Linked DNA regions of Saccharomyces cerevisiae S288C. Each later gene encodes a partner of the first gene's protein in a complex. Each region holds a gene or a part of one and is shown in the gene's direction. Other genes may lie near its edges.

Region 1 (2,901 bases):
TGGTGTAGACGTGAAGTAGACATATGATAATCGAGCAGGGTGCTCAATTTGGTGTGGGACACGTTTGGGAAGGTTAAAAGAAGAGGTATATCCGGATTACATTTATTTTTGGCGTATTTTAATAATTTACTAAAAGCGCGAATAGCTTCCCATTAGCAACGCTCAGGGACTCTTTCTAATGTTTATAGTAATACTTTAATAAGATGAGTACCAATTGCTTCTCTATGAGGCACAATCCCTAACCAAACTTTTATTTAGAATTACCGGTAAACTCCGTTTTCTTCATAGATTAAATATTTGGCTAAGACAACAAAATGTTCTTTCATTTTACCAAACGAGAAGGTGATAGCTGTACGCCAGAAAAGAAGGTAAAAACTCTCGCCAATCCAGCAATACCTGTACCTCTAGTTTTCGATCGCATTATGTCATTATGTAAAACCAAGGAGAGAAGCAAGTTACGGTGTTTTCATATAGAATAATTTGAGAATTCTTAATAACATAAGATATATAATCACCACCATTCTTATGAGATTCAACGTTGAATGGCGTTGCTAGACATATGAGCTGAGGAACGACTATTCGCATTTTCTTTCAAGGCAATTAATTGTCTTGCTCTGAACCCTTCATAATGAATGTAGGAAGTTGTTTCGATTAAGTCTTGGAGATGAGTTCGAATCAAAAATTCCCTTAAATATACAAAATCACACTGGTTGATATCCTCAACATTAATAGCGCTCCAACGAGTTTTTCTTCCCCTGAAGGTTTCACCGTTTATTTCAATCTCATTCTCAGAACCAACCACTGCAAACGGAATGATAGATCTAACACTTCTGTTTAGTTCTAATTCCTCGTCAGTTAGTTCTTCCGAATCATAAGGATAAATCTTGAAATTGTATTTTTCGAATTCATTTTGAATAAGCTCCCTAAACTCCGTTCTTTCATCTAAAGTCAATGTATCCGACTTGCCAATAACTGGTATAACATTTGCTATTTCTGTCAATCTTTTCAAGGCTTCAACGTCAAGGCGGCTCAACTCCTTTCCATTTGGTTGCAGGAAATAAAGAATTGCATGAACTCTTGTATCAGTAATAAACCTTTCACGTTGGGCTGTCAATTCTTTACGTAAGTATTGAGAATGTTGTTCCTTAATGTACTTCACAATAGGCTCCCAAGCTTTAGAATTGTCAATAAAGTCACCAAATCCAGGTGTATCTATAACATTAATATTCAAGCGAACGCGGTCCTCCACAAGAGTATGAGTAGAAATTTTCATTTCAGTTGTTTTTGTAACAGGCAGGGCAGAAATATCATCACCAGTAGCAGAATCAATCAAATGTGAGGCAAATAACGTATTTATTAGAGTACTTTTACCCAATCCGGATTGGCCAACAACCATTATATTAAATTGAAAACCTTTCTTCAACAGACGATGTTCGATCTGATTCGTGATGGTATCAAAACCAACATAAGAAGCAGGCTGTACTGAGCTGAGAGGATCCATTAATATATTTATAGAGTGCTTGTAGTAACCGTGGGGCTTGGCCTTGTATTTTCTTGTCTTTGCCTGAAAAAAGTTAAGTATTACTGATACATGTTTACATATATTCTATTCAGCGATTCTGATCTATTTGTGGTCTCTCGAGGAAATCTCATCGTATCATACGATTATTTCCGCAAGCATTCAGAAAGCAAATCTTAATATAAGGCACAATGTTCCCAAATAATACCTTAACTTGGAGACAAAAACACCAGGGAATATCAGCAAACAAACTATGAATTCTTTGATTTTTGGTAAACAATTAGCATTTCACAAAATTGTGCCTACCACTGCAATTGGGTGGTTGGTACCGCTAGGAAATCCTTCACTGCAGATTCCAGGCCAAAAACAACTGGGATCTATCCACCGTTGGTTGAGAGAAAAGCTACAACAAGATCATAAGGACACTGAAGATAAAGATTTTTTCTCTAATAATGGTATTCTACTAGCAGTTCCTAAAAAAAAAGTATCACACCAAAAAAAAAGGCAAAAACTTTACGGTCCAGGTAAGAAGCAATTGAAGATGATTCACCATTTGAATAAGTGCCCATCATGCGGCCATTATAAGAGAGCCAATACACTGTGTATGTATTGTGTTGGACAAATAAGTCATATATGGAAAACGCATACCGCTAAAGAAGAAATTAAGCCGAGACAAGAGGAGGAACTTTCCGAACTAGACCAAAGAGTCCTATATCCTGGTAGAAGAGATACCAAATATACCAAGGATTTGAAAGATAAAGATAACTATTTGGAACGTCGCGTTCGGACTTTAAAAAAGGACTAGGCTCATCTTTCATCTAGTGGTTTCCTTTTTAAATAAACTTAAGCCTGTATATAGAAACTTAATTTCAAACTGTATATTTATTGTTTAAGACAGCATCAATGGTAGAATACAAGGAGCGGAAACAGAAAGAAAAGTCGAAATAGAATTTTTCGCTTTTGGCTTAACAAAATGAGGTCTTTGAAATCAAGAGTTTTGCTTGACAAAAAACAACTATATTTCAAAATATTAGGAAATGATATTATTAGTACAAGGACTTACAGAAATATACTTTTAATATAAAAAGGAAAAAATAAAATAAAAAGAGTTAATTCTTTATTAATTTTCCAACGTCCTACATTGATATATCTGCTGAGATAGAATTAATGTTAGTAAGAACTAAATATTAGACGCGAACTGTTGTTTCTTACATGACAGTACAGCAGGATAATAATCCTTTGTCCTCCTTCTTTTCTGCAGTTGTAGCTGCTGCAGGTTTAGTTTGTCTCTTAGCCGCATCAGAAGTAGTGGTCTTCTTTTCAGTGGAGGGCTTGGCTTCTTTTGCAGGGAAAAGTTTTTTGGCGGTTTCGTAGAATGTTTT
Region 2 (2,911 bases), on another chromosome or scaffold:
TTACATATTCCCACACCTTGGCATAATTGTGTCGTGAAGGTTGAGGATGAAAAGGAGAAATACTTTTTGACAAAATCAAAAGTAGTCAAGGAGGCTCTCGAAAAGGGTATGTATGATGGTGTATGGAAAGATACTCGTTTCGATATTGGAGAAGGAGGACATTTCGTTATCAAGAAAATCTCTTAATAAAGTAAGAGCGCTACATTGGTCTACCTTTTTGTTCTTTTACTTAAACATTAGTTAGTTCGTTTTCTTTTTCTCATTTTTTTATGTTTCCCCCCCAAAGTTCTGATTTTATAATATTTTATTTCACACAATTCCATTTAACAGAGGGGGAATAGATTCTTTAGCTTAGAAAATTAGTGATCAATATATATTTGCCTTTCTTTTCATCTTTTCAGTGATATTAATGGTTTCGAGACACTGCAATGGCCCTAGTTGTCTAAGAGGATAGATGTTACTGTCAAAGATGATATTTTGAATTTCAATTGACGTAATTAATGATACTATTAATAATACAGAGCGTATATGAAGTATTGCAAATAACATGCACAGTTCTTTTGGGATGAGAATGATAATGAAAGGCGAAGGCGGGCGTTCAGAAAAGCGTTGCGGAGTAACAAGTGATTAAATAGCACCCAAATAATCTTCTTTGATACTACCGATTGCGTGAATAGAACTCACTTGACTGATACAACCTTCAATTTTAACTCTAATTCTACTTTTTATGGTGATGACATCCTCGGAACTTTGGTATGATGGTGGGTTTGAACCCGCATTAAAGGTTAAATCTTGAGGCATCAGATGCTTTGTCACAAATACTTTCATTGGACCTACTTGCACTTCGAACCCGTGCTGAGAACATGAAACGACTGTGCCGTCCACTACTTCCCCTTTAAATGGTTTGAAAACTACAGCTCTATATTTCACGTTGAACTCGGCGGACCCATCTGTGGGCAATATTCTCCCACGTTGAATATCTATATTATCATAGTCTAGGACACAAAGAATATATCCGAATTTACCCGTACACGAACCTTCAACCTCTTCCAATAGTTTTGTCTTTAGATATTGCTTCATTCGAGGACCGAAAAAGGACGGATGAAGGGTAATATTAAGCGAAAGGTCTTTAATAAAAAACATTCTCAGAAATTGAGTTATTTATACAGTGGTTGAAATGTGAATCTATTCTTGGACTTTCCCACTGTCTAATCGCAAAGGAGAATGGTGTAGGAGGAGAAACGGAAAAAGAAAGGCTATGATATTCTGGGAGAAGAGATAGGTGGACAGACCTGATCGACCCAATGTTAGAGAATAAATCGACGAAGTGAGCTTGTCTACGTTATTGGCATTTTCACTGGGATATAGGAATACCGCATTTATTTTCCTTGTATTTTTCAAAATAGCCGTTGAAACCCACAGAAGATCACTTAATACGTAATCGCGTTATACGAATTTTCTCGATGAAAAAGGGAAAACGATGGTATTAGAACTTGAAATGTACATACATTTCTTGTGGAGAACGTAACGCTACTAACAAATAATGTGCTTTGATTAGCAGGCTCCAACAGAAAAAAAAATAAAATAAAAATAAAAAGTACGCAACACCAACACAGAATATGCCACGATTGACGGTTGGAACGAAGAATATGTTGTATCCTTTGCAAAAAACACTTGCAGTAGGAAGTTGCAAGCCAGAGCAGGTTCCAATAAGATCACTAGCCTCAGTGGTGGAGAGTTCCTCCAAAATACTCGACAAAAGCGGCAGCGATCGCGAAGTAGATATAAACGTAAGCGAGAAGATTTATAAGTGGACAAAGGCGGGCATAGAGCAGGGAAAGGAGCATTTCAAAGTTGGAGGTAACAAAGTCTACTTTCCCAAGGCCAGGATCATCCTCTTGAGGCCCAACGCGAAGCACACACCGTATCAAGCAAAATTCATCGTCCCAAAATCGTTCAACAAACTGGATCTCAGAGACTATCTTTATCATATCTACGGCTTAAGAGCAATGAACATTACGACGCAGCTGCTTCATGGGAAGTTTAACCGTATGAACCTACAGACGACGCGGTTTAGAGAACCGCAGATCAAGAAAATGACTATCGAGATGGAAGAACCCTTCATTTGGCCCGAAGAACCCCGTCCGGACGAAAACTCCTTCTGGGACAGCACCACGCCTGACAACATGGAAAAGTACCGTGAAGAAAGACTTAACTGCTTGGGCTCAGACGCCAACAAACCCGGCACAGCATTCGACGGAGTCGTGGGGCCTTACGAACGGGTGGCCCAGCCTTTTATACCTCGCTTCTTAAAACGAGAGATAGACAATAAGCGAGAGCGTCACGCCGCCGAACTGCAGCGCGCAGATAAACTAATTGCCCTGAACAGGTACATAGAAGATCTACATTAGAAGGTTTCCCATTCCACCCCTTCGTTAACCCACACGCAAATACCCAGATAAGCATCTTGCACCCCTCACACTTGTATATACGGAGCAAACTACATAATCTCTAAACAGAAAAAAAAAAAAAGAAAGAAAATTAAGAACATTACTTTTTCCGAGCAACAAACGCAAAAATATATGAAGTGGCTGTAGAACATGCCTTACGGAAGAAAAGAATGATGATGGCATCCCCTTCCCCTGCCCTGGAAGGTGGCCTGTATTTCTGTTCTTTTTTTATTTTTGTTCGCGCAAAGAGCAAGAACATTGGTTGCTTTACTTATTATTTTCAGGGTCGCTTCCGCGGGATGCCATGCACGGATGCCTGCGGAGACAGTGGCGCGGAGCCGTCCGCATGCTCGTTCCGCGGAGAGTCTCGAGCGGGTCCGCGAGGGGCGGATCTGCAACGCACGGTGCCGGGGTTAAGGTATGGCACGATGGTAAGACGATGAGGGAAAAGAATACTGCTA
Region 3 (2,609 bases), on another chromosome or scaffold:
TAGAAAGACAAGACACAATAAAAGACGACTGCTGTATATCATTATGTGATTTATTAAGACATTGCCCCGGAAACGATAAGATGGCCAAACAAGTTTGTGCAGTATTTAATACTTGGTCAAATCCAGAGGTGTTATTACAATCAGATATTGCGAAGTGCAACTATGTCTGGTTGCTAGGACAGCATCCCAACAATTTCTCAGATTTGGAGTCAAAAATCAATATTTTTATAGAGAACTTTGTTCAAGAGGAAGCTTTAACACAGATGTCTTTACTAATGACAATAGTCAGACTACATGCTACTTTAACGGGTAGTATGCTACAAAGCGTCCTAGAATTGGCCACACAACAGACACATGAATTAGATGTGCGAGATATGGCTATGATGTATTGGAGATGCCTTTCGATGCCAAATAATGAAAGTTTGGTTAATGATCTATGTCAAAATAAACTTCCAATGATCTCCAATACACTGGAGAAGTTTTCACCAGAAGTGCTAGAGAAACTATTAATGGAATTGGGTACTATAAGTTCCATTTATTTCAAGCCCGACTCAAATAGGAGAAAAGGCAAAAAGTATGTTCAAAATATAGTTAAAGGAAAACATATAGAGGAATTAGAAAGCATGGCAAAAAATGAAATTTCTAGCAAGGCTAACGATGATGTGCTATTGGATTTTGATGAAAGAGATGATGTAACAAATACAAATGCAGGAATGCTGAATACTTTAACAACTTTAGGCGATTTGGATGATTTATTTGATTTCGGACCATCTGAGGATGCCACACAAATAAATACAAATGATACCAAGGCTGTACAAGGGTTGAAGGAGCTGAAACTAGGTGGCGACTCAAACGGTATATCTTCTGGTGGTAAAAACAATCCCGATGTTTCGGGCGGCAATATAGTGTCACAGGATCTCCTCGATTTATTCTGACTATAAACGTCCGTTGTAGTGAACTTAAGTATTATACCATACATATATACCCTTCGTATTAATTTTTCCTTTTTATTGTTGGGCTGTGTGTATATAATTTATGTACAAGAATGGATATATCAAAAAATCCTTAAAAGATGTAAATCAAAAACATCAATCAACACAGCTTATTTTGTAGAGCTTTGTTTTTGACATAACTTTTCAAGCTTGTTGATTTTTTCTAAAACAATTTTATCCCTTTCACCATCTAAATATTTCTCATCTGTTTGATAAAACAGGAGGCACGATTTCATTTCATCTCGTTGCTTATCACAAGTGGGAAAAACTTTCATTCCATTTGCCTTAGCACAATCTGCCATTGCTTGAACAAAATTTGCACATTTTTTGTATGTTTCCGTCTTCAAGTTCTTGCGAGCCTGTTGTTCTTCGCGAGGACTTAGCACCCATATAGGTAGCCTAGAACTATGTTTCGAGATCATCTGCGGATCTTTGTTTTGCTCCATCTTATCAAATATATGAAAGTTGTTCCAGATAACTTGAAGATATTCGACTTTTGTATCTCTGGCTTTAATTATGGTTAAATCTTCCTAAACTATCATAGGTATAAATACAGGGCACTCCGTTTTCAACTTTATAATCGGAGAAGTACAAGAGCATTCAAAAAGTTCAAGAGAACGGTATAACAAAAGGACAAAGGGAAGCCAAAGAGGGAAAAAAGATATCCGTACTTTGTAGGAAGGAGACGTATTTAAAAGGCTACCCAAGTTATAAGACTCCAATGTTTGGCCCATTCAAATTAACAAGCCCCGTCGCTGGTGGCCTACTATGGAAAATTCCATGGAGAATGTCCACACATCAAAAAACCCGTCAAAGGGAAAGATTAAGAAACGTTGATCAAGTCATAAAGCAATTAACTTTAGGTCTCCACGTCCAAAGATGTCAGGATAAAGGTCTTACTTATCAAGAAGCCATGGAGAGCAAAAAGAAATACAAGCCAAGAAGTAAATCGTTAAGGTTGTTAAACAAACCATCAGTCTTTCCAAAGGAGAATCAAATGTCTTCTAAAGATAAATATTGGACTTTTGATAAAAAAGCTGTTGGTTATAGGAAGGGTATTCATAAGGTGCCCAAGTGGACGAAGATTTCCATTAGAAAGGCCCCAAAATTCTTTTGAATGATACGTAAAAGATCGTTTTATTGATATAAAAATTTCATCTGTATATAGTTTAATCATTGAATAACTTGTTTATAGATCCATGTTTGAAAGTAACACTCCTAAGAAGGCTTTGATGTTTTGTATTGCTCATATTATATCATGCCCATTGAAATCAACGTTATTTTTTTGTAAAGGTGGGAAGAAAGATCAACAAGATAAATGGCGAAATAGAACATATCAGAACATTTGAACTTCAAAACGAAGAGGACACAAAGAATTTCAGGCAAGAGAATGAACGCTAACAAACAAAGGCAGTATAATCAGCTTGCACACGAACTTAGAGAGCTTCAAACGAATTTACAGGAAACGACAAAACAACTAGATATCATGTCGAAACAATGTAACGAAAACTTGGTAGGCCAATTGGGTAAGGTACATGGAAGTTGGTTGATAGGTAGTTACATTTATTATATGGAGCAGATGCTTGGAAAAACGCAATAAGGCATAAGAGGTAAGAC

What was found. The genes of interacting proteins can lie anywhere in the genome.
Region 2: MRPL32 (region 1) and MRP20 share a complex: the UniProt entries of both Saccharomyces cerevisiae proteins name them as parts of the mitochondrial large ribosomal subunit.
Region 3: MRPL32 (region 1) and MRPL31 share a complex: the UniProt entries of both Saccharomyces cerevisiae proteins name them as parts of the mitochondrial large ribosomal subunit.

What each region holds. Positions count from the first base shown.
Region 1 is NC_001135.5:116,848-119,748, forward strand, and holds MRPL32 (mitochondrial 54S ribosomal protein bL32m MRPL32), read left to right. Parts: upstream 1-1,772; coding exon 1,773-2,324; downstream 2,325-2,901. Other genes in the region: septin CDC10, read right to left, coding at 533-1,501; YCP4 (flavodoxin-like fold family protein), read right to left, coding at 2,728-2,901. UniProt on the Saccharomyces cerevisiae protein: Component of the mitochondrial ribosome (mitoribosome), a dedicated translation machinery responsible for the synthesis of mitochondrial genome-encoded proteins, including at least some of the essential transmembrane subunits of the mitochondrial respiratory chain.
Region 2 is NC_001136.10:1,276,027-1,278,937, forward strand, and holds MRP20 (mitochondrial 54S ribosomal protein uL23m MRP20), read left to right. Parts: upstream 1-1,619; coding exon 1,620-2,411; downstream 2,412-2,911. Other genes in the region: DIT1 (Dit1p), read left to right, coding at 1-186; DNA-directed RNA polymerase II subunit RPB7, read right to left, coding at 628-1,143. UniProt on the Saccharomyces cerevisiae protein: Component of the mitochondrial ribosome (mitoribosome), a dedicated translation machinery responsible for the synthesis of mitochondrial genome-encoded proteins, including at least some of the essential transmembrane subunits of the mitochondrial respiratory chain.
Region 3 is NC_001143.9:184,786-187,394, reverse strand, and holds MRPL31 (mitochondrial 54S ribosomal protein mL60 MRPL31), read left to right. Parts: upstream 1-1,713; coding exon 1,714-2,109; downstream 2,110-2,609. Other genes in the region: APL2 (Apl2p), read left to right, coding at 1-935; CMC1 (Cmc1p), read right to left, coding at 1,103-1,438; HSK3 (Hsk3p), read left to right, coding at 2,383-2,592. UniProt on the Saccharomyces cerevisiae protein: Component of the mitochondrial ribosome (mitoribosome), a dedicated translation machinery responsible for the synthesis of mitochondrial genome-encoded proteins, including at least some of the essential transmembrane subunits of the mitochondrial respiratory chain.